Oreochromis niloticus: one gene and its partners. Each later gene encodes a partner of the first gene's protein in a complex. Links are inferred from orthologs where the notes say so. Each region holds a gene or a part of one and is shown in the gene's direction. Other genes may lie near its edges.

Region 1 (10,571 bases):
TGTAGCCAGATGTGCAAAGGCAATGGAAGTTATATGGGGCCACAAACAGGAACATACAGTACTCTCCTCTTTAAAGACAACAATCCAATCCAACTTTATTTATAGAGCACTTTAAAAACAACATGGTTGACCAAAGTACTTTCCAGTAAAAAACAACAACAGTGAAACTAAAGTCAAGTTCATCTTACTCCTTTTCTTTTCACACACTTTCTACAATAAATCCTGTTTGATCCTTGCAGCTCGTGTTGGGTCAAGATAACAACTTACATTGAATGGACACATAAGCACATATGAGACATCCACTCACTACCCTTTTTACATCCATAACTGTGGAATATTCTCATACACAGCAAAATGATATACATATATTGGGAACTTAGGTGTTTGAGGGGACTGTGATAGAGTTGTCTGACAAGTCAACGTGTCGTGGAGAAAGACAACTGCTCTCACTGCTGCCATCTGGGTGTGAGAGCTGTGTAAGTGCAACCCATTTACCACACATTTTCAAAGCACTCGTTTACCCGATATGAATCACACACCATTATTACATCATACCAAAACACATGTTTATGACTAACATGTACATAACAGTTGAATAAATGCTTTTATTGGCAAATGAGTCAAGTGCTTCAGGGAAAAGTAGTGAAATCAGCAAAAAAAAAAAGAAGAGAGAATCTTTTAAAAAAACAGCTTATTTTTTTTCATCAAAAACTGAACAGTGTGTTTAAAAAAAATTGTATTAGGGCACTAAAAGCTTTACAAATATGTGGCTGTACAGTTAAAATGCATGTATGTCATGTATAAAAACAGATTTTAGAAGAATATTGGTGGTTGATGGAAAAAAATGTTATGTGGGATGATAATAACCTCAGAGGTACCTGAAAATCCAACCTGGACAGCTCTTCATTAATCATTGTCATACCTACACGGAATTGTAATTTTTTTATATTTTTAAATATTAAATTTTGGATGTTGTAGCTCACAGACTGTGGCCCACGCTGCTAATCATAGAGTTCACAGTGCAGCTTATATTGTCCACAATGAGGCTCATCTTTCTCATTTAGCAATTTTAATTTAGATCAAAATGACAGTCAAAGACTAACATATGAGTTCCTGAAGAAAAGTTCTTGTACATGCTTCTTTTTGCACTTCATAAATCTGACGTTTATTTACACCAAGAAATAATTGATCTCACACTGTTCAAGGTAAATGGTAAAATGGCCTGTATTTGTATAGCGCTTTACACAACCAGTCATCCACCCATTCGCGCACACACTGGTGATGGCAAGCTGCATTGTAGCCACAGCCACCCTGGGGCGCACTGACAGAGGCGAGGCTGCCGGACACTGGCGCCACCGGGCCCTCTGACCACCACCAGTAGGCAACGGGTGAAGTGTCTTGCCCAACGACACAACGACCGAGACTGTCCAAGCCAGGGCTCGAACCGGCAACCTTCCGATTACAAGGCGAACTCCCAACTCTTAAGCCACCGCCCCAAGGTGCAGAACGACTACTCTTTAGAGTGGAGTGAACCCAAAGGACATCCACACTTTAACCCCACTCTTTACAGTGGTGTCTCCTGTGTGGGGTTCAAAGCTTTATCTTGCATCAGCTCGTCATGCAGCTTAGAAGATAATGTACATGGGGGAAATAATTATGTGATCCTCTCCTGAATTTGTAAGTTTGTTCATTTATGAACAGTCTCTAATTTTTGTTGTAGCTTCGTTTTCAATTTTTTTAGATGAGAAGTAGACACAAATCCCAAATCAAACATGGACTTATCCATTGTGAAATTTGTTCACACACTTGCTCTCTGATGGATGCATAAGGGGGAACTCAGGGTTCAGTATCTTGCCCAAGGATGCTTTGACATGCAGACTGGAGGAGGCAGGGAATCGATCCGGCAGTTGCCCTGCTCTAATTCCTGAACCACAGCCACCCTCACTTGCCCCCTATTTGTGGAGCTACACGCTGTGTTGCCCTCTGTGAATAAAAATGAAATACAGCATAACACACAGGACTAGAGATGTCCCAATCCTGGATCTATAATATATGTAATCTATGATGTTTAAAGAAACAATTTAGTGAAAGCAAATACTGATATGAATCAATCACATTTTTTTTATAATTTCCTTTCCCCTATTTTGTGCCAGGGAAACAAAGAAGTTTTAATTTAATAAAACTGCCTTGTCTGTTTAAAAGTCTGTTGGCTCCTTGTCACTGTCATTGAACACTTAGCCACTGCCAAATTGATGTGACCAAACAAATAAACATCAGCCAGTGCCACAGGAAAGTGTCTCATCTGCAGATTGGTCTACAGCTAAGTTTGGCTGGTATAGTGATTCCACAGATAACTTTATGCAGACTTTCAGCATGTACAGTAGTATGGTATTTATCAATGGGCTATTACATTAAGTAGTACTATACTGTGCAAGTGATGGTACAGATGTCTACTATGGTAAATCAGCATACTGTATCTGATACACAATAGCAGTAATAATAATAATAATTACTTTTAGTTTTAGTAGTGATAGTGACAGGGGCATTATTTTTAGTAGTATTAACACTACATGGCTGCTGTGTAAGTCCTGAAGACACTACAGGATGGCAAGTTTTGTTGTTCTTATGAAATTATTCCAATTTTACATAATGTAAGCATGATAGACAATATAATGAAGTTAGCACAAAAAGTGTGTTTGTCTCTTTGTTGTTACAATGCGTCTTAGCAATAACTCATATCAGTAGAAGGCCTGTTTATTTCTCCTTAAATGGTGCCACATTTGTAAGGAAAATGTATTTGTGGGTTGAGCATCAGAGTTGAGCATGTGGGTTGCACCCATGAAAAACTTGCCAAATCTTCTCCGCCAGTGCCAAACAATGTACTCTGTTGTGGGATGGTGTCTCATTCTTCAACCAGCATCTGTTGCAAGTTAGGCGATTGTGGTTGTGTTGGTCATTTTGGCATGAAGAGAGCACCCAAAGCTGATCCCACAAGTGTTCAATGGGGCTGATATCAGGACTGCAGGCAGGCCATTCCATCCTCTCCACTCCCAAATTCTCGAGGCAATCTCTGATAATGGCATGGGTTGTCATCTTGGAGGATAGAGTTTGATCCCAGACTGTGGAGATATGGGATTGCCACTGGTTGCGTAATCTCATCTTAATATCTCTATGATGATTGCCTCTATGATGATAGGTCTGTTACGCTATGGTGCAGAAATGAGCATAGCATTCTCTTTAAATTTATGATCCAAGTGGCATAGGCAGAATCTGGACTCATCGCTGAAGAGAACATTCCTCCACGTGTCGCTGACAACAGGCCTGACGGTGAAGGGCAGTCATGGCATCCTCCTGGCAGCACTATGAGACCAGAGATTGCCTGTCTTCTGATTTTCTGGGTAAAGTGTTGTCAACCATATTGTCCTGCAAACCATGACTGCAAATCTAAAGAATAGCGCCAACAGTTCCTAAGTGCTACAACAAAATTGTCTTGTGCCGTTGTCTTCTTCAGATGCCCATTTCTTTGCCTGTCTCTGACATGCTCCATTATATGGAACTTGGCCTTCAATTTGGAGATGGTACAAGGGCTCACTCCAGATAATGCTACAACTGGGACACCAGCTTAAAGTTGCTCTATGGCACAGGCCCTATCCAGATCAGTCAAATGTGCCATGCTTGGAGCAGACACCAACTGACCGCTGTAACAGGGTCCATGCTCACAGGTGCTGCTAATCAGGGTCTAATTGTCAACACCTGATTCTGGGGTACCAGAAGCTAAAAAAAAGAGTCAGTAGCAGAATAAGCCGCTAGCAGAGGAGATTTGGCGAGTTTACATAAGTTTATATACCCATGAATACATTGACATAACAATAGGACATTGAAACTAAATAAATCCAACCTGTAGGGGGCGCTGCTCCTTTGCATCGATGATCCTGCTCTGACCTTTGACAGCGGAAGAGGAAAAGCGCGGCTTGTTGTGCGCTCGTGTTAGCGGCGCTATTGTAACGTATGCGAAACGCATTTTGTTGTATGAAACTCGGACTTTTCGAAAACTGGCTAATGCTACAAGTGTAATCAGTGCACTCATGTTCACAGCGTCTCTTTAAGCAGGCAGAGTGAGGTCGACTCTGTGGATATTAACAGTCAGTTAGCCGTTTCACAAAGTGCGCTAAAACCTGAGGGAAAACCAGCACCATGGCGGATGTTACTGCTCGAAGCTTGCAGTACGAGTACAAAGCGGTGAGTGTGTTTAGAGTGAGACAAAAAAATAAAAAATCAGAGGCAGGGATTGTTATTCTGTAAAGTTATCAGGAAAAGTGTTTGGTGTGTACTGTTATTAATTGATATTTATCCTTGTTTAGCTAGCCGTACTGCTAACTAGCATTTACTTCAGCCTGTTGCAGCGCAGACTGATGTACTGTCTCATCATCACACTGTTTTTATGCCGAACTCTTAGAACTCTAACTTGGTGCTTCAAGCCGATCGCTCTCTGATCGACCGCACCCGGAGAGATGAGCCCACCGGTGAGGTGTTGTCCTTGGTCGGGAAGCTGGAGGGGACCAAGATGGGTGACAAGGCCCAGAGGACCAAACCTCAGAGGCTGGAGGAGAGACGAGAAAAGTCAGTGCAGACAGCTACATATATTGTTCATGTGAACTTAAAGCAATACATAATTTATATACACTACCGGCCACTCTGATGTTCCTGTTCCCCTTGTCATTAATGCAAATGTGCAATAGCTAATTACATGCCAGCAACTCAGTGCATTTAAGCATTTAGGCATGGTCAATCTGCATATCAGAATGAACAAGAAAGGTGGGTTGACTTTGATCATGTCTGAGTATGCAGAAAAGCATCTCTGAATGCACAACATAAATGGATGGTAGTATTTGGGATAAGCAACATGAATGCAAGAAGGCAGGATAGACTGCTGGTGGTCTAATAGTGTAGGGGATCTTTTTGTTTAAGCATCCCATTATGATTCCAGTGTACCCCTCATCTGACAGCTGTTTATAGCAGGATAACGCACTATGTCACAAAGCTCAAATAGTCTTAAACTGGTTTCTTAAACATGTCAGTCCAATAGAGCACCTCTGGGATGTGGAGGAACAGGAGATTTGCATTATGGATGACGTGCAGTTGTCAAATCTGCAGCTACTGTGCGATGCTGTCATGTCAGTGTGGCCCCAACTCTCTGAGAAATATAGGCTTTAACTCGTCGAATCTATGGTTTGAAGGCAAAACCGGTTGATTTAAAAAAAGAACAAAATAATCCGGTATTAAAAATCACTTCATTAGTTCCACGTGATAACTTAATTTTGAAAAACTGAAAATAAAAGTATGGGGAAGAACAGCTGTCAAGTTTGATGTCTCTTCAAGGCAATTCTCAAGAAAAAAAGAAAAAGTGAACATATGTGACATGCCTTGGAAGATGTTTGCCACTCAAATGGCCAAACATGGCTCTACTGTTAACATATCATCTTTTATTTTTTTTTATTTTTTATCCAGGAGAAGAAAAAGGGATGAAGACAGACACGACATTAACAAAATGAAGGGCTTTACCCTTCTGTCTGAAGGCATTGATGAGATGGTGGGCATTGTGTACAAACCAAAAACCAAAGAGACCAGAGAAACATATGAGGTGTTACTGAGCTTCATCCATGCTGCTTTGGGAGATCAGGTCAGTGAACGCCACAACAGCTGCTTTCTTGAAGTATTCTGCTTCTGTTTCCGCTACATCTTGCATGTTTTACTCATTATCTCATTACGTTTTTACAGCCGCGTGATATTCTCTGTGGAGCAGCTGATGAAGTTCTGGCTGTGCTCAAGAATGACAAAATGAGAGACAAAGAGAGGCGACGGGAAGTAGAGCAGCTTCTCGGACCTGCTGATGACACGCGCTACCACGTCTTAGTCAATCTGGGCAAAAAGATCACAGACTATGGGGGGGACAAAGACTTGCAGAATATGGGTAGGCACATTCAGAGTAACTGTTGAATGAAAACTGTACAGGATCCATCAGTTTTCTCTAAAAATATTCATTATGTGTGGTATTTTTTATCCACAGATGACAACATTGATGAAACGTATGGTGTCAATGTTCAGTTTGAGTCTGATGAGGAGGTGAGGCTTGTAGCTCTTAAGATTTACAGCTGAGCTGATTGATTAGTTTGTGTCACTGACTTTTCCTGTCTTAACATACAGGAAGTTGATGAAGACCAGTATGGCGAGGTACGAGATGAACACTCCGATGAAGACAGTGAAGGAGTGGAGGCAGCTGTGGATTCCACTCTCTCAGCTAATGTAAGTTTCCATTCGTGGCATTACTCTATTAAGCCCATATTTGTGTTTAGTCTTTGTGAGATATTGCAACTGTGCTGCACAGTAACTAATAAATTACCTTTCACTTAGCTCGGTGGTGCGGGTGACGTGATGACAGTGAAGAAAAAAGATTTACATCCTCGAGACATCGACGCCTTTTGGCTCCAGCGTCAGCTCAGCCGGTTCTATGATGACGCCATCGTCTCACAAAAAAAGGCAGATGAGGTCTTAGAAATCCTCAAGGTAGGTTTGTGACGTTCCCTGTGTTTTTGTTTGTTTAGAGCAGGTAAGTTTGTATTTGTCAACATCATTCTCTCGTCTCTTATTTTACAGACTGCCAGCGACGACAGAGAGTGTGAGAACCAGCTGGTGTTGCTCCTCGGCTTTAACACCTTTGATTTCATTAAAATCCTGCGTCAGCATCGTCGCATGAGTAAGTCTGCTTTGTTGAGTGAAACTGTTACAGAGCTAATGTCTTTGAAAAGGTACTGATTTCTTTCTCTTCTCCCTTGACACACAGTTCAGTACTGTACCATGCTGGCAAGTGCTCAGAGTGAGGCGGAAAAGGAGCGCATCATAGGAAAGATGGAGTCTGATCAGGAGCTGTCAAAGATTCTCTACCAGTTGCAAGAGACGGAGAAGGAGGATATTATTCGAGTAAGGAGGCTTGATTGTGAGATTATGTGAACTCTTTGTGAGGCTCAGTTTGTCACATTATTTATTTTTACGTCCTTTAGGAAGAGCGGTCTCGCAGGGAGAGAGTGAGGAAGTCCCGTGTCGATGACTTGGAAGCAATGGACATAGACCATGGAGAGGTATATAACACTTTCAATATATTAACTACAAATCATCCTGTCAGGAACACTACTTGTTGTGAGTTTTCTTTTACACATTTCTAAACTGCATAGGAAAATTGTCCTTTCTGTCTGACAGTCAGTGACCCCTCGACAGCTGCTAGACCTTGACGACCTGGCTTTCAGTCAGGGGAGCCATTTCATGGCCAACAAGCGTTGCCAGCTGCCAGACGGCTCTTTTCGTAAACAGCGCAAGGGCTATGAAGAAGTCCACGTACCTGCCCTCAAACCTAAACCCTTTGCTGAAGATGAGGTTTGTCAGTTATGTTTCTTCATGGGAACATTTTAATTGTCCAAATGTGCAGCAGCTAAGGAAAAAATAATAGTAATAAGTAGCATATAACTGTGTTCAGGTCCTACAGTCAGCACTATTTTGTGTCATCAGGTACTTGTTCCCATTGAGAAGTTGCCCAAGTACGCCCAGGCTGGATTTGAAGGCTTTAAAACCCTGAATCGCATTCAGAGCAAGCTGTTCAAGACCACCATGGAGACAGATGAGAACCTGCTAGTGTGTGCTCCAACGGTGAGCACGCTTTGTTAAAGCCAGAAAGCATTTCAATACTTTCCCCCAGCTGGATTTTCTCTTATGAGTTTGTGTTTGTTGTGCACACAGGGAGCCGGTAAGACCAATGTCGCTCTGATGGCAATGCTGAGAGAAATTGGAAAGCACATCAACATTGATGGAACAATTAATGTGGACGACTTCAAAATCATCTACATAGCCCCCATGCGCTCTCTAGTACAGGAGATGGTGGGAAGTTTTAGTAAGGTGAGCCTCGTCTGTCCTGCACAGCTTTCTTTGCATACTTGACAACCATCAGGGAGCACAAATCTGAAAACCTTTTTCCTCCTTTTCCCAGCGTTTGGCAAGTTATGGCATCATAGTGTCCGAGCTGACGGGAGACCACCAGCTCTGTAAAGAGGAGATTAACGCCACTCAGATCATTGTCTGCACCCCAGAGAAATGGGACATCATCACTCGTAAAGGTGGTGAACGTACCTACACCCAGCTAGTGCGCCTCATTATCATAGTAAGTGCACAGTTTTGTCACTAAAAAGCAAATGTGCCAGTTGACTTGACTTTTAATGATGAATAATTTAATGTGGGTGTTCAGGATGAAATCCATCTGTTGCACGATGACCGTGGTCCTGTGCTGGAATCTCTGGTGGCGAGGACCATCCGCAACGTGGAGCTGACCCAGGAGGATGTGCGCCTGCTGGGCCTCAGTGCCACACTGCCAAACTATGAAGACGTGGCTACCTGCCTGCGTGTTGATCCTGCCAAAGGGCTCTTCTACTTTGACAACAGGTGTGCTGCTTAAGCAAAAAAAAAAGACGTTTTTATGATGATTTCTATGAACAGCTGTTTGTTTGCTCTTCCTTATTGCTTATTGCTGTACGGCTTTTCTCTGTAGTTTCCGTCCCGTGCCCCTGGAGCAGACTTATGTTGGTATCACAGAGAAGAAGGCCATCAAGCGTTTCCAGATCATGAATGAGATTGTCTATGAAAAGATTATGGAGCATGCTGGAAAGAACCAGGTGAGTCCTGTTTGACTTGTTCTTCCAAAGTGATATAATTCGGTGACCTGAATTAGCCTAGCGTTATCTAAGATGTGTCTGCTAAAATATGTTTTACTGCCAGCTGAGCTGTGTAAATGCTAATGACATTTTAATTAGACACCTCTTCTATTTTTTTTTCCTATTCATTTATTTATTTATGTATTTTTGCTGGATAAGCACAAAATGAGATTTTTGAAACCGGGGACTCCTAACACTGTTTTCTCAGTCACAGTCTGCACTTCGCCTCGATCATATAATCCTCTTCTGCAAGAAAACCACAACTCCTGTTATTGGTTTTTTATCATTTTTGCCCTCCAGTGAAAAACAAGATATTTGACATTGTGCTGCTTTCATTGTTGTTACTATGTGGCTTATGTTATAATTTGATCCCTAAAAAGCGACAGTTCACTCACTGTTAATATCAACATAAAGGAAAGAGGCGAAGCCCAACAAAATATCAAGAGGAAATAAATGTCCAGGTTTCCATAGATAAACCTGCAGGTTACTACTCTCTGTAACTCTCCTCTGTGGCTCCCAGAGCTGGAGGGTCGAGGTCCCTCTAAACCCGGGCCTCCTGTCAACCCTGTGTCCATGCAGACCTTTCCAGTGTGTACGTGCTCTTGTGTGTTTATACACAGGGAACTCACAGGGCTGAGTTTTTGAATGTAACTTCTTACTTCAGTGTTGTTTCTCTGAAAAATCTACAGCACTGCGTTACCAAATCTGAAAGCCTTACTTTTTTCCTCCCAACAGGTTCTAGTGTTTGTCCATTCCAGGAAGGAGACTGGGAAAACTGCCAGGGCCATAAGGGACATGTGCCTGGAGAAGGACACTCTGGGTCTTTTCCTCCGAGAGGGTTCTGCATCTACTGAAGTGTTGAGAACTGAGGCGGAGCAGTGCAAGGTGAGCAAATGTCATTAAACTGGAAACATTTTTTAAAACTCTTGTGTGGTAAATGCTTTTAATACCACAACTGAATGCTAAATTTAACCTTCTTATGCAGAACCTAGAGCTGAAGGATTTGCTCCCATACGGCTTTGCAATCCACCACGCTGGTATGACCAGAGTCGACCGTACGCTGGTGGAGGATTTGTTTGCCGATCGACACATCCAGGTTCTGGTGTCTACAGCTACTTTGGCTTGGGGTGTCAATTTGCCTGCACATACTGTCATCATCAAAGGGACACAAGTGTACAGCCCAGAGAAAGGCAGATGGACTGAACTGGGTGCCCTGGACATTTTACAGGTCAGCCCATCCTTTCTTGTTACCAAACATAGTAAGGTCTGCTTTAGTTTGTAGCTTTACTAACTCTATTTATTGAAAATGTGTTTGATTCCAGATGCTTGGTCGAGCTGGCCGTCCTCAGTATGACACCAAAGGAGAGGGAATCCTGATCACGTCCCACGGAGAGCTGCAGTATTATCTGTCCCTGCTGAACCAGCAGCTGCCCATTGAGAGTCAGATGGTGGGCAAGCTGGCTGACATGCTCAATGCAGAGATAGTACTGGGAAATGTGCAGAATGTAAAGGTTAGTGACCTGAAATGTACATGCAGCTATTTAAGACAGAAGGATCAAATTTTCCTCGTTTCTTTAAGTTTCGATTTCTCAAATTTGCCATTAGGATGCTGTGAACTGGCTTGGCTACACGTATCTCTATGTGCGCATGCTTCGCAACCCCACCCTGTATGGTGTTTCTCACGACGACCGAAGTACAGACCCCCTGCTGGAGCGGCGCAGGATGGACTTGGTGCACACAGCAGCCAACATCCTGGACAAGAACAGCCTCATCAAATATGACAAGAGGACCGGCAGCTTCCAGGTATGCAAGTCTCAG
Region 2 (10,678 bases), on another chromosome or scaffold:
ACGATTTGACACTGAAAAACAACTGCAGGGCCTTCTGACAAGCTTCTTTTGTGCAACCTCTCAGCCTGGATCAATGCCAAGCCCACTCTCAGCTCTTGTTAAATGCCCTCTTGTTCTCCTTTCTCACCCCTCTACTGTACTTACAAACTTGCGTTTGATCCGCAGCACGACACGGGATAACCAAAACTGCATTCATCAGCGAAGACATCTAACCTAAACACACAAAGCTTCACATTAACTCTCTTGACTTTCATTTTTGTTTCTTTTCCCTCACAAGCATTTCCCTGACTACTTTCTCTTTCTCTGTCTTCTTATTTCTGTCTCTGTCTTCTAGCCTTGGCATAACCAGCAGGATCAGATGACACAGGTGAACTCCTCACTGGCCGAAGCATTGCACAACGCCAGCCAGTGCTGTTTATCATCGTGGACTGTCGGGGGAGGCGTCCTGCACTGGACTGGCATGAGAAAGAAAAGGCTTTGTGCTCTGAAGAATATTTCAAATCACAATTTGGGCCAAATCCTCAATGACAAAAAAAAAGTAAAACAAAAACCACACACAAAAAAAACAACTACAGCAGGGTGTGTCTCTCTTTCACCGATCCCCTCTGTGACCAAGTGTCCAGGAAGTGTTTCATGGTCAGAGGAGGTGTAGAGGGATCACGGCGTACGACGGACAGTGAGGGTGTTGAGCACAGAAGCACCGAGAGTGTGAATCAGATATTTGAGTATGACAGAGGGGTAAAAATGAGGAATAACAGGAGAAGTTAACAGTGAGAGGGGTAGACAGATCAGCTGATGAGTGGCATCCAAGTGTTCAGCCAAACTTTTAGACATTTCTGCTGTAATTTCAAATACTTGATGGTGTTGGTAAAAAAAAAAAAGAAAGAAAAAAGCGTAGGTTCAGAAATCAGGAAAAATGCAAAAGAAGGCTGCACAGAAGCTGAACGATTAAAATTAGTGTTACTCCATCTGCACACGCAGCTTCAAATATTCGTTGACTCTCTTGCCGAAGCACGTCTAACAGGCGTGCTTTACTACAGTCCAGAACATTTTATTCTCTTCTCTTGAGCCACGCCCCGGAAGGCCTCAGAGCTCAGCCAACATGCAGCACATCGCCCTCCCTTCTTGCCTCTCTCCCAGCTCTCTTTGTTTACAGGAAGCGGCTGCATGGATACCTCTTTACATCAGACTTGTCTCACTCATCTTATCTATTTTTTTCTCAGGTTCACCATGTCCACAGCAGCACCGTTTCTCCTGTCACGGACCGCAGCAAGAGAGCTCTTAGCCAGACTAAAAAAAGCAGCAAAACATTCAATTTTAAACATTAATGGATGGAAAGCGCCCTTAAAAACAAACCAACACAAGCTGGTTGGTTTGCTTCCTCTGATCCCCAAACGTTTTGTCAAACTGAGCTCAGATAAACAACGTTAATCCGAGAGTTGCACGAATGTCCTCCACTTGCTGCAAAAAGCCACATTTAGATGAACCCTGTTGCTACTGACAACAGTCCAGCTCAGTATGATACTGATACCACTGTGGATGTCATAAATATCAAGTCTCAACGTGGCCCTAAAAAGATTTTTGGGTTTTCAGATACTTTTTGGGATGTCTGGCAATTCAAAAGTCCCCCTAACCTAAAAAGAAGGAGCATTCTTCTTACTTACTATTTAGAATAGCCATCTCTTATTATTTTTCTCTGTTGTTATTCTTTTTTTGTCCATTCTTTTCTCTGTAGATACAGCACGTCTCATTAAAATAGGATTGGTCTGTTAGGTATGACACTGAAACACCGAGCAAAGATCAGTCAGATTTCTGTGGCTGGTACTCGTGACCCACATCATACCAGATCAACTGTACACACTTTTAACCGGGACTTTGATGCCAACACATTAAAGGAATTGTTGGGAGTAGAAATGTTAATCTCTGCGTGTGCTGACTGTATGTTAAACATGTATGATGTTGCAGTAAGAAAAAAAAAAGAGGGCAGACTTTATATATGCAGTAAATGCACACAAACACACTTAGGGTAAATAATAGCTTGGCCTGGTGAACTAATCAAGCACTAATGTCACAAACTCAGCTGTGGGAATGGCTGCATCTCAACAACCGCGACAGAGCCTGGATCCCGGATCGTGCAACACGATGCCCTGCCTGCACTAATGCACAGCCAGAGGGACGGTGCTGATTCAGGCTCTCTCCTCATTATCCGATCAGCGAGCAGCCTGTGAATCAGCTCTGACCTGAACAACATGTAAAGATCCAAAACACCATGAGCGGGGAGATCGGGCAGCAACTCGGACACGCCAAGAAGAAACTGCCCTCGAAGTGAACCTAATCAATGTCATGTTGTTCATTAGAAAATGGAGAAAAGTTGTTGTAGTCAGCATTACTGGTGGAAAGCTGTTTGAGATTTATTTCTGTCTTGTCCAGTTTGTTTGTCTTTAAAACGCTTAAATGATTAAATCTGTCTTAGCACAGCCAGGAGAAACTGAAAACAAAGGTGTTTTTGTGTCCCTGCTAATCCTTGTCTGTGTCCACTGTGAGAAGTTTTCTTTCTTTGCAGGCATGCTCTCTGTGATGTTGTGTGTTTTTGCCTCACTGTACATGCCACTAAAACGCAGGCAGGACCTTGGATATAAAGGTACTGGAATAAAAATGCTTGACTGTGAATCCATGTTGGAGTCCCTTTCTGTTTTGATTGGTGGTTTCTAGCACTACGGTGCAATAAATTACAAGAAATACAGCAGAGCTTAGACGCTGGATGCCACTTTTGTGAACGCTTTTTATGATTATAGTCAATTTGCAATTCAAGATGAGGAGTAGTACTATAATAAATTTTATGAGAACACAACAACATGATCAAAGCAGCATTTTCCTGCCAGTCTGTGGATATCACATAATTATCAAATACTCTAAAGTAGGATAAGGTCACTATAACCTAGTTATGTCAGACAAAGGAAAATAATCAGCAGCATTTTTTACAAAATGGGTAGTTCAAGTTATTTTAAGGCAAAAAAACCACCTGAGATGTGGATATTTGTGGCATTTTTCTAGATGTATACAGTATTAGGTTTTCTATCTTTGGGATGTGATGATTATTTGTGCAAAAGACGTTTGAGAAAAAAGCACCTAGGCCTCTGAGAACTTGTGATAACACGGTCGAAAAGTTAATTAGCCTTCAGTGAAATGAGCAGAGTCCCTTTTACATCAGGGATGCCTAATTTGAAAGGTTACAAAATTAATGCAAGGAGGTCATGAAGTGCTGAGAAAAGAGAAAAGAAAAAAAAGATTTCTGGGCTATTTTTAATAGTCTTTCTATATTTATTGTTTCTATATGAATATAAACATTGGTCTCATGTGGAAGCATGCAAATTAGAGCCTCTGGTCAAAAAGGATGGAAGCTGTTAAAGCTCTAAATATCACACGTGATGTAATAATGTGCAGACTGGAACCAGGAGGGTGTTACATTATTGTATAAAACTGGACTTACTGTGCAGCTGAAGAGCTCTCGTTGTGTGAGCTGTCAGCTCACACATTTACAGTGCTAACCTCACTGCAGAAGACAGTGATTTATTAGAGCCAATCAGTCAGAGGCCATCTCTGTAGTGCGTGGATGGTGGATGGAGAAGGATGGAGGGCCCCTGATGTGGGGAGGAGTCCTTGCACTGCCCCAAATGCCCTTGTCCAATTCAGGCACTGAAGCTCACCATGATGGAGGAGGAGACCTGCTGCTGACTGGCTTATCTTCCCTTCATCCCTATTCTGCAATTGATTTTGCAACACTCATCACTTGAATCACTTGAAGCTGCATTTCCTGCTATAGAAACAAACACGCAGGGGACTGTACTTTTAAACGACAGACAGAATTAATAGATTTACATCATAGCAAAAAAAGAAAGAAAAAGAAGCCCCGCAAGCAGTAAACGAGCATTTAAAAACAAACACTGGATAATTGAGTGGTTTCTTTAAGTCTACTGTCTCTATCAAACTGGGTGTGATGACAGAAGGTACGTGAAGGTGAACACGCACCTGCCCCCTCCTTAACCCTCGCCTTTCTAGAAATGTGGCCCTTTTTTCTGTAATATTTTCCATTTATATTGCTGCCATTGTTTCACTTTGGGAATGAGCGCAGGGGTGGGCTTCTTGGATGGAAAAAAAACAAACCTTGATCATGATCATACTGGTGAAAATATAACCCGAACAGCTTGCAAGGACAGGCTCCTTCTGATAAATACGGCACGTCGATGGTGTCGTGATGTATACCTGCAGACCGTGATGAGGTTTTTTCGCTCCACGCAGACGCTCCGAGCAGACGCCTTTTTCGATGTCAGACCCATAGCCATTGCTGTCTGAATACAGCCCGACTCCATCCAGCGGCGGCCCCGGGCCTCTTCGGGATTCGTGCCCAGGCCAGGACCTCTCCCTCCGTGGGCCCTGAGTCCTACAAACACCCGCCGTCCTCTGCGGGGAGTCACGGATGCTGCTACAGTCGCTGCTGGAAGAGGAGGAGGACGGGATCTAAGCGACTAGAACCAAGTTACACGTATTTATCACTGCAACTTCCGGTTAAAACTTTCAAAATAAAACTATCTTCCAGTTTTCATCACAGATTCATTCATACTAGAATTTCCAGTCTTCCGGTGTCAGGCAAAAAAAAAGTGATTGCTGATGTTTTTATGTGTTTGTATGTGTTATATCTTGGCTTACATTGGTAGATAGGCTGGGGTCAACAGAATTTTCAAAGGGCTAAATATGAAATAAAGAAATTACCTTTTTTGCAAGTATCTCGACTCAGCGTTATTGTAGCTACTCTGTGTCCTGCATTATAATCAATCCAGTCCTTTTTTGCTGCTTAAAATATCTTTTGTAGAACCGTTCTTTTACATTTGTCTGAATTTCTAAAGCCCTCTTTGACCAAACATGTTTATAAAAAGATATTTTTTAACACCAATTAGACTTTTTAATATCAATTAGACTTTTTACCTGGAAAAATAAAGGAAGTCACTATCTAAGAGTAACTTAGCCAATTACTGCCTGCAGCTTCTACCTTGTGTCTGGTCAGATACTTTTGCAATATGTTTGATAGATTATAGACCAACAAGTCATTTAAAACAGTTTAAATAATTAAAACTTTTTGACAAGTATCTAAATTCCCCTTTTGGCAGACGAATGTGTTTTGGCACAGCTCTAAAAACTTTACAGCACTTCATAGAGTTATAACGATTTCCAAGACATAACTTAAATTCTCATGAATTATTTTTAAATATGAAATAAGTAAATATCATTGAGCAACTTTTGATTAACTGGCTCGCAAAAATTGCAGCCACTTTCTCACTGAAGTATCACTGCTGCCTTTTTAAATCTAACTTCACAATGCCTAAGTAGGTGTGATTCTCCTTTTGACCAGTACAGGGACTAACTTAAGATGACTCCTAGACACTAGAGGGTGCTGTGGCGAAAGCAGATATTTACAAAACAGAGTCAAGATGGCGGAATCAGAGAAGCCTCGGGAGGGATCTTGTACTTTTCTGTTTAAAAAATCTAATAGGAAATTCTCTGGGCGAAAGAGAAAAGCAACCGATAGCGAGAAAGGTTTGTTATTTAACTCACTTTCTGATCATTTAAAGCCCAGTGAACTTCCGGTGTCGACAGCGCTCGAGCTTTTTAATGATCGACTACTTGTTTCTGTTCTCGTAGTCCTTTACAGATAACCACTGTGTTATTAACACGGTAAGAGGCAAAAATACTACATCTGATTCCAAAAATCGGAGAAACGATGTAAAGGAAGTACCGCAGATGATACATTTTTGTTCCTGTTATAAACAAATTTCACATTCGTGCCGCGTTTACGTTTCCTCGGAATTTGGAACGCTATATGCGCCTGCTGTTTCTTGTCCTCCCAGTTAACTCCGAGATTATTCTAAGATTTTGCAATTCTGCTGTCAGTTATTAGACAAGTTACTAGATTTTTTTTCACCAAATGTATCTCACTCATGTCCTTTTCAGATGAAAACAGTGATGAGGACCAGACCCTCGTAGTGAGAAAAGAAAAGAAAAAAACTCGCATCAACCCGATGATTCAGAGGGTAATTATGGGTTGTTGTTTTTTTAAATTTTTTAAATTTTTGTATATTTATATTTTTTAACATGTGTTTGTCGAAAATTGCGTTTTTCTGTCTTAATCACTGTGTACCTCAACGTGCACTGGAAATGGCAAGTATGTATCCAGAATCAGCTGGCATAGTCAGATTTGCAAAAGTCTAAATCTGCATTTAGATTCACAAGAGTACTAAAGTATTTAAAAGTGTGTTATGTTAATGCATATATAGATTTTTTTTTTTTTTTTTTACATTTAGAATATGGACAAAGGGTTTTATACACTTGCAAACCTGATATTTTTGAAAAAGTTTATAAATCTAATCATGCAAACACACATTTGCAGACAAGACTGCTATGACAGTAGCCTCAAATGAGACAGAGGTGACTGTTTTTGTCCATCCATCCATCCATCCATCTTCATCCGCTTTATCCGAGGCCGGGTCGCGGGGGCAGCAGCCTAAGCAGAGAAGTCCAGACCTCCCTCTCCCCAGCCACCTCCTCCAGCTTATCCGGGGGAACACCAAGGCGTTCCCAGGCCAGCCGAGAGATATAATCTCTCCAGCGTGTCCTGGGTCTGCCCCGGGGCCTCCTCCCGGTGGGACATGCCCGGAACACCTCACCCAGGAGGCCCCCCAGAAGGCATCCCTATCAGATGCCCGAACCACCTCAACTGGCTCCTTTCGATGTGGAGGAGCAGCAGCTCTACTCTGAGCCCCTCCCGGATGGCCGAACTTCTCACCCTATCTCTAAGGGAGAGGCCAGCCACCCTTCGGAGGAAGCTCATTTCTGCCGCTTGTATCCGCGATCTCGTTCTTTCGGTCACTACCCACAGCTCGTGGCCATAGGTGAGGGTAGGGACGTAGATCGACCGGTAAATTGAGAGCTTCGCTTTTACACTCAGCTCCCTCTTCACCACGATGGACCGGTGCAGCGTCCGCATCACTGCAGCCGCAGCACCAATCCGTCTGTCGATCTCCGGCTCCCTTCTCCCATCACTCGCGAACAAGACCCCGAGATACTTGAACTCCTCCACTTGGGGCAGGAACTCATCCCCGACCCGGAGTGGGCACTCCACCCTTTTCCGGCTGAGAACCATGGCCTCAGATTTGGAGGTGCTGATCCTCATTCCCGCTGCTTCACACTCGGCGGCGAACCGTTCCAGTGCGAGCTGAAGGCCTTCACCTGATGAAGCCAACAGAACCACATCATCCGCAAAAAGCAGAGATGAGATTCTGAGGCCACCGAAGCGAAAGCCCTCCGCCACTTGGCTGCGCCTAGAAATCCTGTCCATAAAAATTATGAACAGAACCGGTGACAAAGGGCAGCCCTGGCGGAGCCCATCACCCACCGGGAACGAGTCCGACTTATTGCCGGCAATGCGAACCAAACTCTTGCAACGGTTGTATAGGGATCGAATGGCCCGTAGCAATGGGCCAGACACCCCATACTCCCGCAACACCTCCCACAGGACACCCCGAGGGACACGGTCGAATGCCTTCTCCAAGTCCACAAAACACATGTAGACTGGTTGGGCAAACTCCCATGCACCCTCAAGTATCCTTGAGAGGATAAAGAGCTGGTCCAGTGTTCCGCGACCAGGACGAAAACCGCATTGTTCCTCCTGTATCCGAGGTTCGACTAGCGGACGAACTCTCCTTTCCAGCACCCTGGCATAGACTTTCCCAGGGAGGCTGAGGAGTGTGATCCCCCTGTAGTTGGAACACACCCTCCGGTCTCCCTTCTTAAAGATGGGGACCACCACCCCGGTCTGCCAATCCAGGGGTACTGCCCCTGATCTCCACGCAACATTGTAGAGGCGTGTCAACCAGGACAGCCCTACAACGTCCAGAGCCTTCAGGAACTCGGGGCGGACCTCATCAACACCAGGGGCTCTGCCACCAAGGAGTTGTTTAACTGCCTCAGTGACCTCGCCCCCGGAAATTGGCGGGTCATTCCCCTCATCCCCAGACTCTGCTTCCTCCTCGGAAGACATGTCAGTGGGATTAAGGAGGTCCTCGAAGTATTCCTTCCACCGCCTGACAATTTTCTCAGTCGATGTCAGCAGCGCTCCGCCAGCACTATACACAGTGCAGGTAGAGCACCGCTTTCCCCTCCTGAGACGCCTGACGGTTTGCCAGAATCTCTTCGAGGCAGTCCGAAAGTCTTTTTCCATGGCCTCTCCGAACTCCTCCCACACCCGAGTTTTTGCTTCAGCCACTGCCCGAGCCGCATTCCGCTTGGCCTATCGATACCTGTCGGCTGCCTCCGGAGTCCCACAGGCTAACCAAGCCTGATAGGACTCCTTCTTCAGCCTGGTGGCTCCCTTCACCTCTGGTGTCCACCATTTGGTTCGGGGATTACCACCACGGCAGGCACCAACCACCTTGCGGCCGCAGCTCAATGCAGCAGCTTCGGCGATGGAGACGCTGAACATGGTCCATTCGGACTCAATGTCCCCAGTCTCCCTCGGAATGCTGTTGAAGCTCTGCCGGAGGTGTGCGTTGAAGATCTCGCGGACTGGGGCCTCTGCTAGACGTTCCCAGCACACCCTCACTACGCGTTTAGGTGCACCGGGTCTGTCCAGCGTCCTCCCCCGCCACCTGATCCAACTCACCACCAGGTGGTGATCAGTTGACAGCTCAGCCCCTCTCTTTACCCGAGTGTCCAGAACATATGGTCGCAGGTCTGGTGATACGATTACAAAATCGATCATCGACCTGCGGCCTAGAGCGTCCTGGTGCCACGTGCACTTATGGACACTCTTATGTTCGAACAAGGTGTTCGTTATGGCCAAACTGTGATTTGCACAGAAGTCCAATAACAAAACACCGCTCGGATTCAGATCAGGGAGGCCGTTCCTCCCAATCACGCCCCTCCAGGTCTCGCTGTTGTTACCCACTTGAGCATTGAAGTCTCCCAGCAGGACAACAGAGTCTCCAGATGGGGCACCTTCCAGCACCCCCCCCAGGGACTCTAAGAAGGCTGGGTACTCTGAACTGCCACTCGGCGCATAAGCGCAGATGACAGTCAGGACCCGTTCCCCGACCCTAAGGCACAGGGAACAAACCCTCTCATCCACCGGGAAAAACCCCAACGTACCGGCAGCAAGCCGAGGGGATATTAGAATACCCACCCCAGCCCGCCGCCTCTCACCAGCGGCAACTCCAGACTGAGACAGAGTCCAGCCCCTCTCCAGGAGACTGGTTCCAGAGCCCAAGCCATGCGTAGAGGTGAGCCCGACTATATCTAGCCGGTACCTCTCAACCTCACGCACTAACTCAGGCTCCTTCCCCACCAGAGAGGTGACATTCCATGTCCCTATTGCCAGTCTTGGCAGCCGGGGATCAGTCCGCCAGGGCCTCCGCTCCTGGCCGCCGCCCAGCACACAATGCACCCGACCCCTATGGCGCCTCCTGCGGGTGGTGGGCCTGCGGGAGGATGGGCCCATGTCTCCTCTTCGGGCTGTGCCCGGCCGGGCCCCATGGACTAAGGCCCGGCCACCAGACGCTCGCCCTCGGGCACCCTCCCCGGGCCTGGCTCCAGGGCGGGGCCCCGGTAACCCTATCCCGGGCAGGGTAAACTGTTCCCTCGATATTCTCTTCATAAGGGTCTTCTGACTGTTTTTGTTTTGGGTTTTTTGTCCAGACAAAGAAAGTGGAGAGAGATGCTGTATCATCCAGTGAAAGTGAAGACGAGAAAGAAGACAAGAAGGTGACTGTTTCCTACAAGTCCACACGATCAGCGGTGAGTTGACTTTTTCTATCATACTGATTTTTTAAAGGCTGTCCTTTAAAAATAAAGCCAGGGATATGAATGAGCAAGGTATCCAACCTTTTTGTTGTTTCATCTGTATGCATGCTGATTTGGCCTCTTCTGATTTGCCTTGTGTGTGTGTGTTCCCTGTCCTGTATACTGCTTAAGAGCCACAGTCTTGCAAACTTATTGATGTGCTTATATAAACGTATTAAATGTAAACCTTTTTCCCAATCCTATCCAAAAACAAGAAACCAGAGGGACCGGAGGACATGGGTGCAACTGCTACATATCAGCTGGACACAGAGAAAGACAATGATGCCCAGGCCATTTTTGAAAGGAGTCAGAAAATCCAAGAGGTAGTAGATGCTATTTTTAATGTTAAAGCTTTGTAGAAAAGGCTACAACTCCTATCATATAATGACTTAGTTGGCTGTTCTGTTCATATTCACAAATTGTGACTTGAATGCTAAAATTAAAAAAAAAATGTCCAGTAGTTTCAACTGAATCTTGAACTAATGTTCTTTTTTTTCTCTTGTAATAGGAACTGACAGGTAAAGATGATGATAAAATCTACCGTGGCATCAACAACTACCAAAAATTCATCAAGCCTAAAGACACAACTATGGGCAATGCCTCCTCTGGCATGGTCAGGTGAGCATTAAGGCGAGGCATATCCATTCCATCACAGTCACATTGTGTCATTAAAAAAAATAAAAGTAAACAGAACACCAAATGCACTTCTCTTGTGGATGTGTGTATCATTAAAACTGCTAATAAACCACAAAGACAAAGGAAATCTTGAGCTTTTTAAGGAGCTTGAAAT
Region 3 (10,978 bases), on another chromosome or scaffold:
CTTATGCCACAGATCTGTTACAACACCAGGAAGTTGAACACACACTGCCCAAGCCTCACCGGTGCCCTTCGTGTGGCCAGGAGTTCTCCCTGAGGTCATCCTTACAGCTACACAAGTGCGAGTCCACCCGCTGCGAGCTTTGTCATGGGATGTCACTTTTTGGTTCCCCCTGCTCTACATGCACGACTCACACTTCTGATCCTGGCAGGTCGCTGGACAAGCCACTTCACCGCCAGCCTCATCACATGGACCGCAGCCCATATGCGTGTGCCCCATGTGGGAGAGGTTTCAGCCAGAAGCAGGCTCTGCTGCAGCACCAACAGGCCGGCTGCAATGAGCTGCCATCCCTGTCTGATATAGCTGATGCCAGCACACTCCCTGATGACTCTTCACCTGTTTCTGAGGGGGATTCCATTCGCTCTGATTCTTCAGATACTCCAGGGCCCAGTGGCCAAGCTATCAACACGTGCCAACTCTGCTCAAGAATCTTCCACTCAGAGGCTGCACTGCAACGCCATAAACAGGCCAACCACTCAGAGGATGAGCAAAAGGCCACCGATGGGGAAGTGAGGAAAAGAAGGAGTGCTAAGGTAAATGAGGAGCCAAGCAAGAGTTCAAAATCTCAAAAAAAGCTGCTGAGCTGCCGCTCCTGTGACATGGTTTTCAGGAGCACCTCTAAACTGTACGTGCACAGAAAAGAAAAGCACAGTAGAGAGAAGAATGTCAGGAGAGAGCCGAGGCCAGTTGTCATCAAGCGGAGGAAAGCAGGCACGTATCCCTGTCAGGTCTGCGGAAAAGTCTTTGTCCACCATTTATCGCTTAGGGCACACTACAGACAGCATACAGCCTTGAGCTTGGCGGCTATCAAAAACAAAAGCAAGACTATAGGATGTACCACCAAAGACTCCTCCAAACTATCAGAAAACAGACCAAATAAAGCCAAAACCAGCCTCGCTGAGATTAAGACAGTCAGGGCTGGCCCAGGGAGACCCAGGAAAGTCACTCGACGGTTGACCAAGATAGGTGTTTCAGGGAGATCCACAGAAGTGCCTGAAGCTCAGGAGGAGGAGGTGGAGAGAGATTTCCCGTGCCCCTCCTGTGCAGAGGTTTTCTCTCTGCAGCAACAGCTGAAGGAGCACATGGAGCTCCACCAAACCTCCATGAAGAGGAGACAGTGCAGCGTGTGCACCACCGAGATGGACACGTGCAAATGGCCAGGCTCCAGGAGGCAGAGGCTGTACCACTGCGTGCCCTGCCAGCAGGGGTTCTCTGCACTTGACTCTTTCCTAGAACACTGTCAAGAGCACCTGCGAGTCAGGGTGGAGGAGGACAGCTTGACAGAGGGCTACACGCATCAAGCCGGCAAAGCCTGACGTGTCAGTGTGAATGTCGTCAGCAACCCGCCTTTTTGCCTTGAAGGGTTACACAAAGAGGAGTGATGAAATCTCTGTGAAATTCTTGTTGAGTCACGAGTTCACTGATTGAGCATTCAGAATATGTTGCTTTTGTACCCAAGCTCGGGCTTTGTTATCCAAACCATATCAACAGTTAAAAAGAATGTCTTATTGAGCTTTTATTTAGCCCTTTAACATGAATTTTATTTTCTCCTGCAAGACACATTGAAAAGCACAGTGTGAATATCAGTTTGTCTAAGATCCATCACATCAGCCTTTAAAGGGAGGTTTAATCAGTGTTTGTACATCTGAGAACAGGACATCTTCTCAGATGCGTCTTGCAGAGCAGCTATGCATTAATAAGTTTCATTGTAGTGAAATGCAACAAAGAAGAAATACACAGAATATGTGTTTAGCAGCAGCCTTTAAGATGAGCCTCGGCTTTATTACGGCAATATTGATGATATGAAATTGAACATAAAGCTAACATTTTTACTGTGAAGGACTGTTGTTGTCTGCAAATTTTCACTCTAATACATTGAAAACTATAGAAGCCAGAACAGTTTGATTATGATTCATTTGATCCACTCAAAGTATTCAAACCTTTATACCCAGGAATCCCTCTTTCAGACCAGTGGTTGTCTGTGTATCCACTTTTATACAACTCTGTGATATAAAAACTTGTAAAGACTAGGTAAATTCCACAAATTGTCTGCTTTTTTTTTTTTTAATTAAGAATGGTAGCTTATGATCCTGGAAGATAGTCTCACCACTTGGCAACAACTGGGCTGGTTTAATTCCAGCCAGATACACAAAACCCCTTTGGGGTTGTGTTAGGGAGGCCATAAAAAGAGCATAAAACTCTGCCAGTCAAACATGTGGAGTCACCCACTGTGGCGATCCCTTGTGAGAAGGGAGCAGCTGAAAATGGCTGTTACTACGGTGAAGATCAGCTGTGTAAAGGTTCCTGGACCTTGGATAACCTTCGCAGTGCTTAGAGTTTGGGCTGTTCATTTCAAATCAACCCCATTTTCCAAAAACACGTTGGGATTAGCTCGCATGCTCAAAGTGGGGCTAAGCTTATCTTTGCCTCAGGGTTTGTTTTGTTTTTTTGTTTTTTTTTGTTCTTTTGAGAAATTAGGCCGTCTGCTCAACTGTGGTACATTCTGGCCAGAACACTGCCTGACAAATTGTTTGCTACTTGTCTAGTTTTTGTTATGTTTTCTGCTGTATTTTCTTACAAATTTGGCAATAATTATTCATCGATTGTGGTGTCTGATTTTGTCGTGTTGTCAGTCTTGTGTGTCAAACCTGAGTGTTAGCAGCACTACTTAGAGCACTGGGTGGAAGTTTATTTCTTTGCTCGAGAGATAAAATGCAGTCCCAGGGTCTGCATGAGATTGTAGTGTGTAACATTGTTTGTTTACATGCTGTTTCCCAATATTTTTATCATGGAAGAAAGATTGCAGTAAACTATACAGTGAGCAAACTTGGCTTTCATGGATAACTTTACCCAAAACAATGCCTTTCATAATGGCCCTGCTTTTTAGCTTGCATGAGCTCGGGTCGTATTTTCTAACTATGCAAACAGATGGACTGACGGCAGCCCTTCAGTGTGTCTGCGATGCTCAATAAGTGCGCTTTGGTGAATGAACTTAAATCAACATGAATTTTTTGTTTTGTTTTTCTAAAGTATTTTCAACTACTGTTTTCAAAATGCGACTGTGAACATGTAGAAGATATGTTTCTAGGTTTCGAAGTTTCTACTTTGCTGAGGTCTTTTGTAAATTGGTGTGTATGGCTCTTTGCAGATGACAAATAAAATTTAACAGTTGTCAGATGTTTTCTTTGCATCACTGCTGCTGTTCTGATTCTGTGAAATTTTAGTGATTTAATTGAAGTTTTTCATACTGTGGATCTGAGAAGTTTGTTCCAGAGCAGCTAAACCGCAGTTTCAAACTGACTGCGTGCTCTACCGCAGCTATACAGCAGAGTTAATGGGTAACTGTTGAAATTAGCAAGAGGAAATGTATGTACATTTATTTTTAATGACTTTTAGCTAGTTTCTAGGTTCAGATAATATAAATTATTATTGAAGTTGCAGGTCGCAGCTAAAAGCTCTTCCATTTGTATTCTGAACATAGTCAACAGTGTAACAACTAATGGCCATGAATCTTACACATTTCTCTTAAAGCAGGAACAATAAAATAGTGTTATAAAATGCAATAATGTACACTGGATTCATTATTAAAACAATAAATTACACTAATATGATTTTCCTCAAATTATTAAATGTGCAGTAAATATACTGTTTATTCGGTTGTTAGCTTTGACAATGAATTCATATTAATTATTGGCATAACTAACTATTAATTTTAAAGTTACAAAAACTTTTTCACACAAAGCTGGTGTAGTTTTTTTCAAACAAAAACTACACCAGCAGCTGAACCTCAAATAATAGCCAAACACATAGTTAGATCTTTGGTATGGATAGTGGATATCCCATTGTGTTTGTCAACAAATAATAGTTCTCATTGGGCCCACCTGGGGCCCGTTCTTCGTACCTCGCTTACTACATCCAAGATCAAATGACACATCCAAGATCAAATCATCGCGCTAACCTTGAGCTCGCTAATCCGGTTCTCCGAACACACCTGTTGTTGACGATCAGTATAGCTGGATGAAGTAATGCGAGATCACTGGGTGTCTCAAAAGGGGCTACGCATCGATAGTAGAAACATTGATCGGCAACCCTTTGATTGGTCGGCGAAGATGTCGAAGGCGCGCGCTCAGTATTTTACGGCAGCAGAGCAAGAACTCTTGATTGAGGGATATCAGGAGTTTCAGAGTTTAATTAAAACGCAAGGGAACACCGCAAAGGCTGCAAAAGCAAGGAGAGAGGGCTGGCAGAAAGTTGCTGACAAATTAAACTCGTAAATAATTTATTATATCATATTACATTATATCCTCTTTCACATTAGAGCCACAACAGGACCCACTAGAACATGGGGACAAGTAAAAGTGAAATATAAGAATATTCTACAGAATGGTAATAGTTATCACTTATATTGCTTTTAGTCTCTTGAAAAGAGACCCTGAAATAATCTGTTTGTTTGTTTATAACAGCAACCAAGAAAAGGGCAGAGCAAATAAAGACAGGTGGTGGTCCTGCACCCCCTCGTGTGTGTGTGTGTGTGTGTGTGTGTGTGTGTGTGTATATATATATATACACATATATATATATATATATATATATATACACATATATGTATACATATGTATACATATATATATATATATATATATATATATATACATATACATATACATATATGTATACATATATGTATACATATGTATATAGGGAGAGAGAGAGAGAGAGAGAGAGGAAGGACAGGACGGATCCTGTCAATCCCGCAATATACGCTGAATTCTGGAAACTCTCCTTATCAATCTTGCACCTTCCGCAATGGGTTGCTCGCGTACAAACAGACAGGACATGGCTGCGACAGACTTCCCAAATCCACCTTCGCTTTTATAGCCGTGGTCTCTCATCTTGATTACACGAAGTAATTTACTATTACTACTCTAAAATACGAATTACATCTGAAATAATCAAATACGTGTAATAGAATGATTACTAGTACATTTCCCTTTTTCTTAGGAAATGACCTGTATGTATCTGTATGCAATCAGTAAAAGAATCAACTACTGCATTATCTTTAGTTACATTGATAATATTTATTTATGGAGAAACAGTGGTGAAATATCGCTGTTGCTTTCGTGTACATGCAGCGGACATACCTGAGTGGCCGCGATCTAATCCTGTTTACATAAAGTAAACCTGCTCCCGAGCAGGTTTACGCTTACGGATCTGTTGCTATGACAGCAAGTCCCAGATGAGCTTCGGAGAACCGAACGATCCAAGATCACGCGAAATCGTCAACAATCAAATCCGGCTAACTTACTTAGCGAGGTACGAAGAACGGTCCCCTGGTCTTATAGCAAAAAAACCAAAACAACTGCTCATCCACTGGATTTTCCTCACCCACCCATAAACGAGGTTTTACAAAGAATGGTCTAAAAAAGAGAAAACATCCAGTAAGTGAAAAAAAAAAATTCTCTGGGTGAAAATGCTTTGTTGTCGTGCTTCATCAGGCCAGACTGTAACAGTAACTCAAATTACCACTTGTTACAACCAAGGTATGCAGAACAGCATCTCTGAATACACAACATATTTGCATTTAAATAAATGATTTGAATATTTCTTCCACTAATATATATAATTCAAAGCTAGCCGGCTCTCCTTCCTCCTGTTCTCATGGCGGCGCTGTGAGGAAAAAGCAGAAGGTCCAGTATGAGAGTTCACCAATGAAGTTCCGGTTGTCGGCGCACGCTTTCCTTCCGCGGTTTCGTGAAACGAAAAGAGTGCGAACGAGTTCTTCGACTTTCAGAAAATACAGATAAAATGAGCAAAGCACACCCACCCGAGCTGAAGAAGTAAGTCAGTGATCTTTGATAAATAAACGCGCACTGGTTATTTTGTACCTGTTTCTTGTTTCCCGCATAGCAGCTCTGGTACATTGTTTGTAATAGCCACAAGCTAACATTAGCTAGGCTGCCAGACCGACTTGTGAAGAAACTGTGACCATGTAACCGATGCTGATGGTTTTCTTTTCCAGGTTCATGGACAAGAAGCTTTCATGTGAGTATGACTCCAAGCACAGATTCAAAAGCACCCAGAATGTTAAGAGTGAATCTGTTCCTGTGTTTCGTTGTTTTTAAGCAACAGCATGAAATATCAAAACATAGTTATTGAATAATTTCAGTAATTACCTTTCAGTTTTCACCTGGTACACAAAGCCTTCTTCGATGACCTCTGCTCACTGTTTGTACAGGATCTCATAACAAAGGGTAGACATGTAGTGCAGGCAGCACACATGGGGGGACATTTATTTTAATACGCGCAGCGTGTTGTGTTGCTGGGAAGTACTGCTAGAAATGCAGATGTTGATATATTGTATAACTTGCACAGGTCTTATCATCCCTACTGACTTTCATTGACAGTATACTATAATTGTGAGATGTCTTTATGGTCTTTAAAAGTTTGAAATTAAGCTTGTTGTAACCCTCGGTTACAACACTGGGTAAGTCAAGTACCTTTCACAGATGTGGACTCAAAAGTTAGGTTATGTGATAGCATAAATATATGGATGTCTTACTTTGCTGTATGTAAATATTCGTGGTAGTATGTGGGCAATCTAAACTTTGAGTTTGAAGATGGATCAGTCCCAAAAATAAATAAACTGAGCAGTTTGTGAAATTCTTCATATTGATTTCTTTTCTCTCCTTTCAGTAAAGTTGAATGGAGGCAGACACGTACAGGGCATCCTGCGTGGGTTCGACCCTTTTATGAACCTGGTGGTGGATGACTGTCTGGAGATGGGCCCTGGAGGACAGCAGAACACCATTGGCATGGTGGTCAGTAAATTTGTCTTTCTTAATTTTTGGTATTGTCACCAAAGAAAATTTGTGCGCCTAATATAAGCACAGCAATTTTTATCTTCCAGCAGTCTGCTCTCCTCTCAACTACAGCCCGTATATTTACCAGAGAGTTCTGGTTATGATGGTGTCAGACTTCATATTTGCCACAGTCTAAACACACAGTAAAGAGCTCTCATTAACAGCCCAATCTTTCCTGGTAGGGGGCGATCATAGCTCAAGAGTTGGCAGTTCGTCTTGTAATCGGAAGGTTGCCGGTTCGAGCCCCGGCTCCGGCAGTCTCGGTCATTGTGTCCTTGGGCAAGACACTTCACCCGTTGCCTACTGGTGGTGGTCAGAGGGCCTGGTGGCGCCAGTGTCCAGCAGCCTCGCCTCTGTCAGTGCGCCCCAGGGCAGCTGTGGCTACAATGTAGCTTGCCATCACCAGTGTGTGAATGGGTGGATGACTGAATGTAGTGTAAAGCGCTTTGGGGTCCATAGGGACTAAGTAAAGCGCTATACAAATACAGGCCATTTATATTAATAAAATTTATATTTTGCACATGAAACCTTTGCATTTTTGTCACACTCTGTTTCAGCAAAAAAAAAAAAAAAAGCAAAAAAAGAAATCTGCACAATCGTCACAAAATAAAATAAATATTTTGTGCCTGATTAAAGCTCTGCTTTTCCATCATGTTAGTAATTTCCATCCACCATTTGCAAAGAGAATTGGTGGAGTCATTTCTGTACATTTTGGTTGCATATCATGTGCTATTAGTATTTCGTCCTTTGTAACATTAACCATGACCTGAACAGCGTCAGATTGTTATGCTTGTTTTATACTTGAGCAGTAGTAGCATGAACGCAGTTCCTGGGCAATCACAGTCTGCCTGCAGAGAGTGTTTGTTGTTGATGGAGTGTAACAAATATGTATTACAACCTGTGTGTGGGCCACACTTGCATGTGCTGTTGTTGTTCCAAGTATAAAGTTCTCAATTGTTCTCAAGTTGAAGTGAACAGTGTTTTCAAAAACAACGAAAAGTGTCCACTGCAGTCACACTCTGTACTTTTCATGCTGTATTTTTTTCCCTTTCATATTTGTGTCATACCATTTCCCGCTGAACTCCACAATCGCGCCCTCCCCTGTTCTGGCCCACTTGTCAACCAATGAGCTATTGACCGACACATGTGTCATCAACATCCAGTGACATGCTGTTGGGGCTGTTTGGTGGACTGCACGATAGCACACTTGTGGAATTGTGTACACAGACCATACATTATTTATTAGTTATACCTGCATCTGCTGCTGTTTGCTCCACGAAATCATTTTCATTTATTTCAAAATCATTCTGTGTTTGAAGCAGGAATTATACCGTCACCGAGTCCAGTAGGGTCCACTCAGGTCCCACTGATATAAATTTCATCATGAGATGGTTAGGGCAGTTTGTGCCTGCCTGCTTTTTGTAATGTTTACTTACTTTATAATGCACTAAGTAAACATTCTCCCCAGCCCATGAACTACAAACAACAGGAATGAGTGCTCAGCTGTTCAGTATAATTTAGGTTTAAAATGTCAAGAAAAGCGGTTTGCTTTACCTTCTATAAACAAGATACTAAATTCTGTTTAGATTTGGAGAGCTCAGTGCTTTATTTAAAACCTTTAGGACATTTGTCATGATGGCAGTGTGTTTACTCTGTGTGGTATTGTTTCTCACAGGTCATCAGGGGAAACAGCATCATCATGCTCGAGGCCTTGGAGAGAGTATGAGAGTGGAGGAGGCACCTGAAGAAAATGATCCCTACATTTTGTTTTTTTGTTTTGTTTTTTTACATTATTGTCCCTTTCTTGTTCCTCAGTAAAGAGACAAAGCATTTGTATTTGAATTGTGAGATGATAGATACGGTCTTTTTGTTTGGACTTTTAAAATGTGTGACCTTGTGAATAAATCAGTTTTCTTTGTAATTGGTTTTCTGCATTCAGTTTATATCACATTACCACAATACAAGTTACTGTTCTGTTACTGTCAACGTGTTACTATAGCAACAGGCAGAAGAAGCTGCACACTAAATATGATGGTAATGTTTCCTGAGTGTCTTATACACTTCCACAGAGACTCTCTCCACTGGATTAAATTGTGACTGGAGGTCGGCGCAACAAAAAAAAAAAAAAAAAGAGTCCAGCTGGACTGATATAAAATACTGTGCAACCCCCTTATTTCTTCTCATTTTCCACACTAAGAGACAGATTTTCTTGGAAATTTTAAGTGGTTTTTAAGTAGTTCTCTAGGCCTTCTGAAGCTCTTCAAAAGCTAAAAGTTTTTCTTTGGAGATTGGCTGCTGCTGAGCTCATTTATACCTGCCTGCTTTTAAAAAAAGAGAGGAGAAAACCAAATCCATCTTGAATTTAGGTATGCACTTAGTCACTACCTTTAAAAAAAAAAATTTAATTTCTTCCTGCTGCTTCAGAATCTACAAAGATAATAGCCTAACAGATGTAAGAGTGTTTTTTTTCACCAATGACGTGATTCCCAAAGAGCTGTTAACTGAATATTTGACATAAGATTGTGTCAAGTGTGTGCTTAAAAATTTGGGGGGAAAAACAAACAAGTGAAGGATTAAAGGAGTGGCAGGCCTAAAATGCTACAGCAGGCAAACTGTATCTGAATGTCATGTCCTTAAGAAATACGAGAAAAATCCAGCAGAGATCTGGTACAGGCCCTTTACTGACCCATTTACTGTTCACCAAAGACTCGTTAGAAGTGGTCTGAGTGGAAGGGTGGCTGTCAACAAGTCATCCTTAAGGAAGCGAAACAGGTCATGGTGACAGAGAATGGAACAAAAAGCAGTAAACATCTCCTTTAAGAGAACTACTAAAGACTACATGAAGAAATGACTAAAATTATGCTCATCCAATTTTGTTATTTAAAATAAAGTGATGACAAATATATAAAGTGGGTGTATTGTTTTAGACGTGTTTCTAATGCAGGACATGATCGAAATAAAACTTTTTGTTGTATGTACATACACAAAAACATGTCATTCCTTTTCAGTAGCAAGTCTCCCAGACTGCAGCAGCCTACAAATGCCTCTGGATACTGTTGTCCTTTATATGTCAGCAGCACATAAAAACTGCATCTAGAAAAACCCGGAAAAGACAATTTTGCTGACCTTATTCCTAAATATGACTTTAAAAAGTTTTTTCTCCTGGACGTTAAATACCTGGCCTGAAGCCTGAATGGAATTCTCACTCGGGTTTCAGTTCCGTAATTGCCAAATGCTGACGGCGGGTCGACAGGGGGCGCACTCCGGACGACTGACTTCACGTTCAGGTGGACTTTTATTTTGAAAGCCGAGTGTCGTCAGTGCGGACGCGTTTCTTTACGTTCTGTGTCATAGCTGTTTTAACAGAATGTGGAAAGTAGCGATGTCGGAGGAAGTTGCCAAGGCTTTGCAGTCGGTAGTGGAGCGGGTGAACCAGGCGGCTGCCCGGCGGCCTAAGGTAACTGCAGGCCGGGATGCTCCGCTCGGGAGCGCCGCTGCCTTCGCTCCTCTCTTGGGGCCCTGAGAAAAACGTGCTGCGGCAGCACGAATCGTTATGTAAGGCTGCCAAACACTTCAACCTTTGGATGGGAGACAATCGGGCTTGCGGCAGCACTTTTATAACACCCCATGCATGCAGCGTGACAGTGCGTGCGGGGAGCATGGTACACGCACTCTGGCTGTGTTTGCATGTTAGTGGGTACAGATGATGTCTGTCAGTTACTCATTCCATTATTTTGTGACTGGTGCTGATCTTCTTACACCACACCTCTGTGGGAAACGTCCACGAGTGTAGATGTCCTTTTCAACAAGTGTCACTCCATTCAAATAGAATCAAGGTTGATGTAGGTCACAGCATGTTCCCACTGTCCTGCACAGAAACCGCTGAGAGGGATGAGCACGACAGTGGGAACATGCTGTGAGCTGGTTTATCTAAATGATGAGGAGCAGCTGAATGATCTGTAGCAGGATCTGAATGCAGCCGCAAGCATCGTTGTTTTGGATGATGCTGACATGGCTGACTCACTCTGCAAAAGACCTCTGTTTGCATGCTGCATTAGACA

The links.
Region 2: snrnp200 (region 1) and rnf113a share a complex: the UniProt entries of both Homo sapiens proteins name them as parts of the minor spliceosome. The link is inferred for Oreochromis niloticus from reciprocal best matches to the Homo sapiens genes SNRNP200 and RNF113A.
Region 3: snrnp200 (region 1) and snrpg share a complex: the UniProt entries of both Homo sapiens proteins name them as parts of the U4/U6-U5 tri-snRNP complex. The link is inferred for Oreochromis niloticus from reciprocal best matches to the Homo sapiens genes SNRNP200 and SNRPG.

Annotation. Positions count from the first base shown.
Region 1 is NC_031977.2:12,273,230-12,283,800, forward strand, and holds the start of snrnp200 (U5 small nuclear ribonucleoprotein 200 kDa helicase), read left to right. Parts: upstream 1-4,194; coding exon 4,195-4,239; intron 4,240-4,456; coding exon 4,457-4,620; intron 4,621-5,508; coding exon 5,509-5,680; intron 5,681-5,778; coding exon 5,779-5,971; intron 5,972-6,067; coding exon 6,068-6,123; intron 6,124-6,204; coding exon 6,205-6,303; intron 6,304-6,411; coding exon 6,412-6,564; intron 6,565-6,654; coding exon 6,655-6,754; intron 6,755-6,841; coding exon 6,842-6,978; intron 6,979-7,058; coding exon 7,059-7,136; intron 7,137-7,254; coding exon 7,255-7,428; intron 7,429-7,560; coding exon 7,561-7,698; intron 7,699-7,788; coding exon 7,789-7,944; intron 7,945-8,035; coding exon 8,036-8,206; intron 8,207-8,290; coding exon 8,291-8,484; intron 8,485-8,590; coding exon 8,591-8,714; intron 8,715-9,488; coding exon 9,489-9,638; intron 9,639-9,738; coding exon 9,739-9,981; intron 9,982-10,075; coding exon 10,076-10,264; intron 10,265-10,358; coding exon 10,359-10,556; and 1 more. UniProt on the Homo sapiens protein: Catalyzes the ATP-dependent unwinding of U4/U6 RNA duplices, an essential step in the assembly of a catalytically active spliceosome. Plays a role in pre-mRNA splicing as a core component of precatalytic, catalytic and postcatalytic spliceosomal complexes.
Region 2 is NC_031969.2:28,811,090-28,821,767, forward strand, and holds the start of rnf113a (E3 ubiquitin-protein ligase RNF113A), read left to right. Parts: upstream 1-5,434; 5' UTR 5,435-5,486; coding exon 5,487-5,592; intron 5,593-6,006; coding exon 6,007-6,086; intron 6,087-9,744; coding exon 9,745-9,843; intron 9,844-10,103; coding exon 10,104-10,211; intron 10,212-10,396; coding exon 10,397-10,506; intron 10,507-10,678. Other genes in the region: rundc3aa (RUN domain-containing protein 3A), read right to left, coding at 4,264-4,370. UniProt on the Homo sapiens protein: Required for pre-mRNA splicing as component of the spliceosome. As a component of the minor spliceosome, involved in the splicing of U12-type introns in pre-mRNAs. E3 ubiquitin-protein ligase that catalyzes the transfer of ubiquitin onto target proteins.
Region 3 is NC_031984.2:33,151,637-33,162,614, forward strand, and holds snrpg (small nuclear ribonucleoprotein G), read left to right. Parts: upstream 1-5,734; 5' UTR 5,735-5,862; coding exon 5,863-5,894; intron 5,895-6,076; coding exon 6,077-6,099; intron 6,100-6,750; coding exon 6,751-6,875; intron 6,876-8,592; coding exon 8,593-8,643; 3' UTR 8,644-8,838; downstream 8,839-10,978. Other genes in the region: si:ch211-148l7.4 (zinc finger protein 43), read left to right, coding at 1-1,373; plpbp (pyridoxal phosphate homeostasis protein), read left to right, coding at 10,285-10,374. UniProt on the Homo sapiens protein: Plays a role in pre-mRNA splicing as a core component of the spliceosomal U1, U2, U4 and U5 small nuclear ribonucleoproteins (snRNPs), the building blocks of the spliceosome.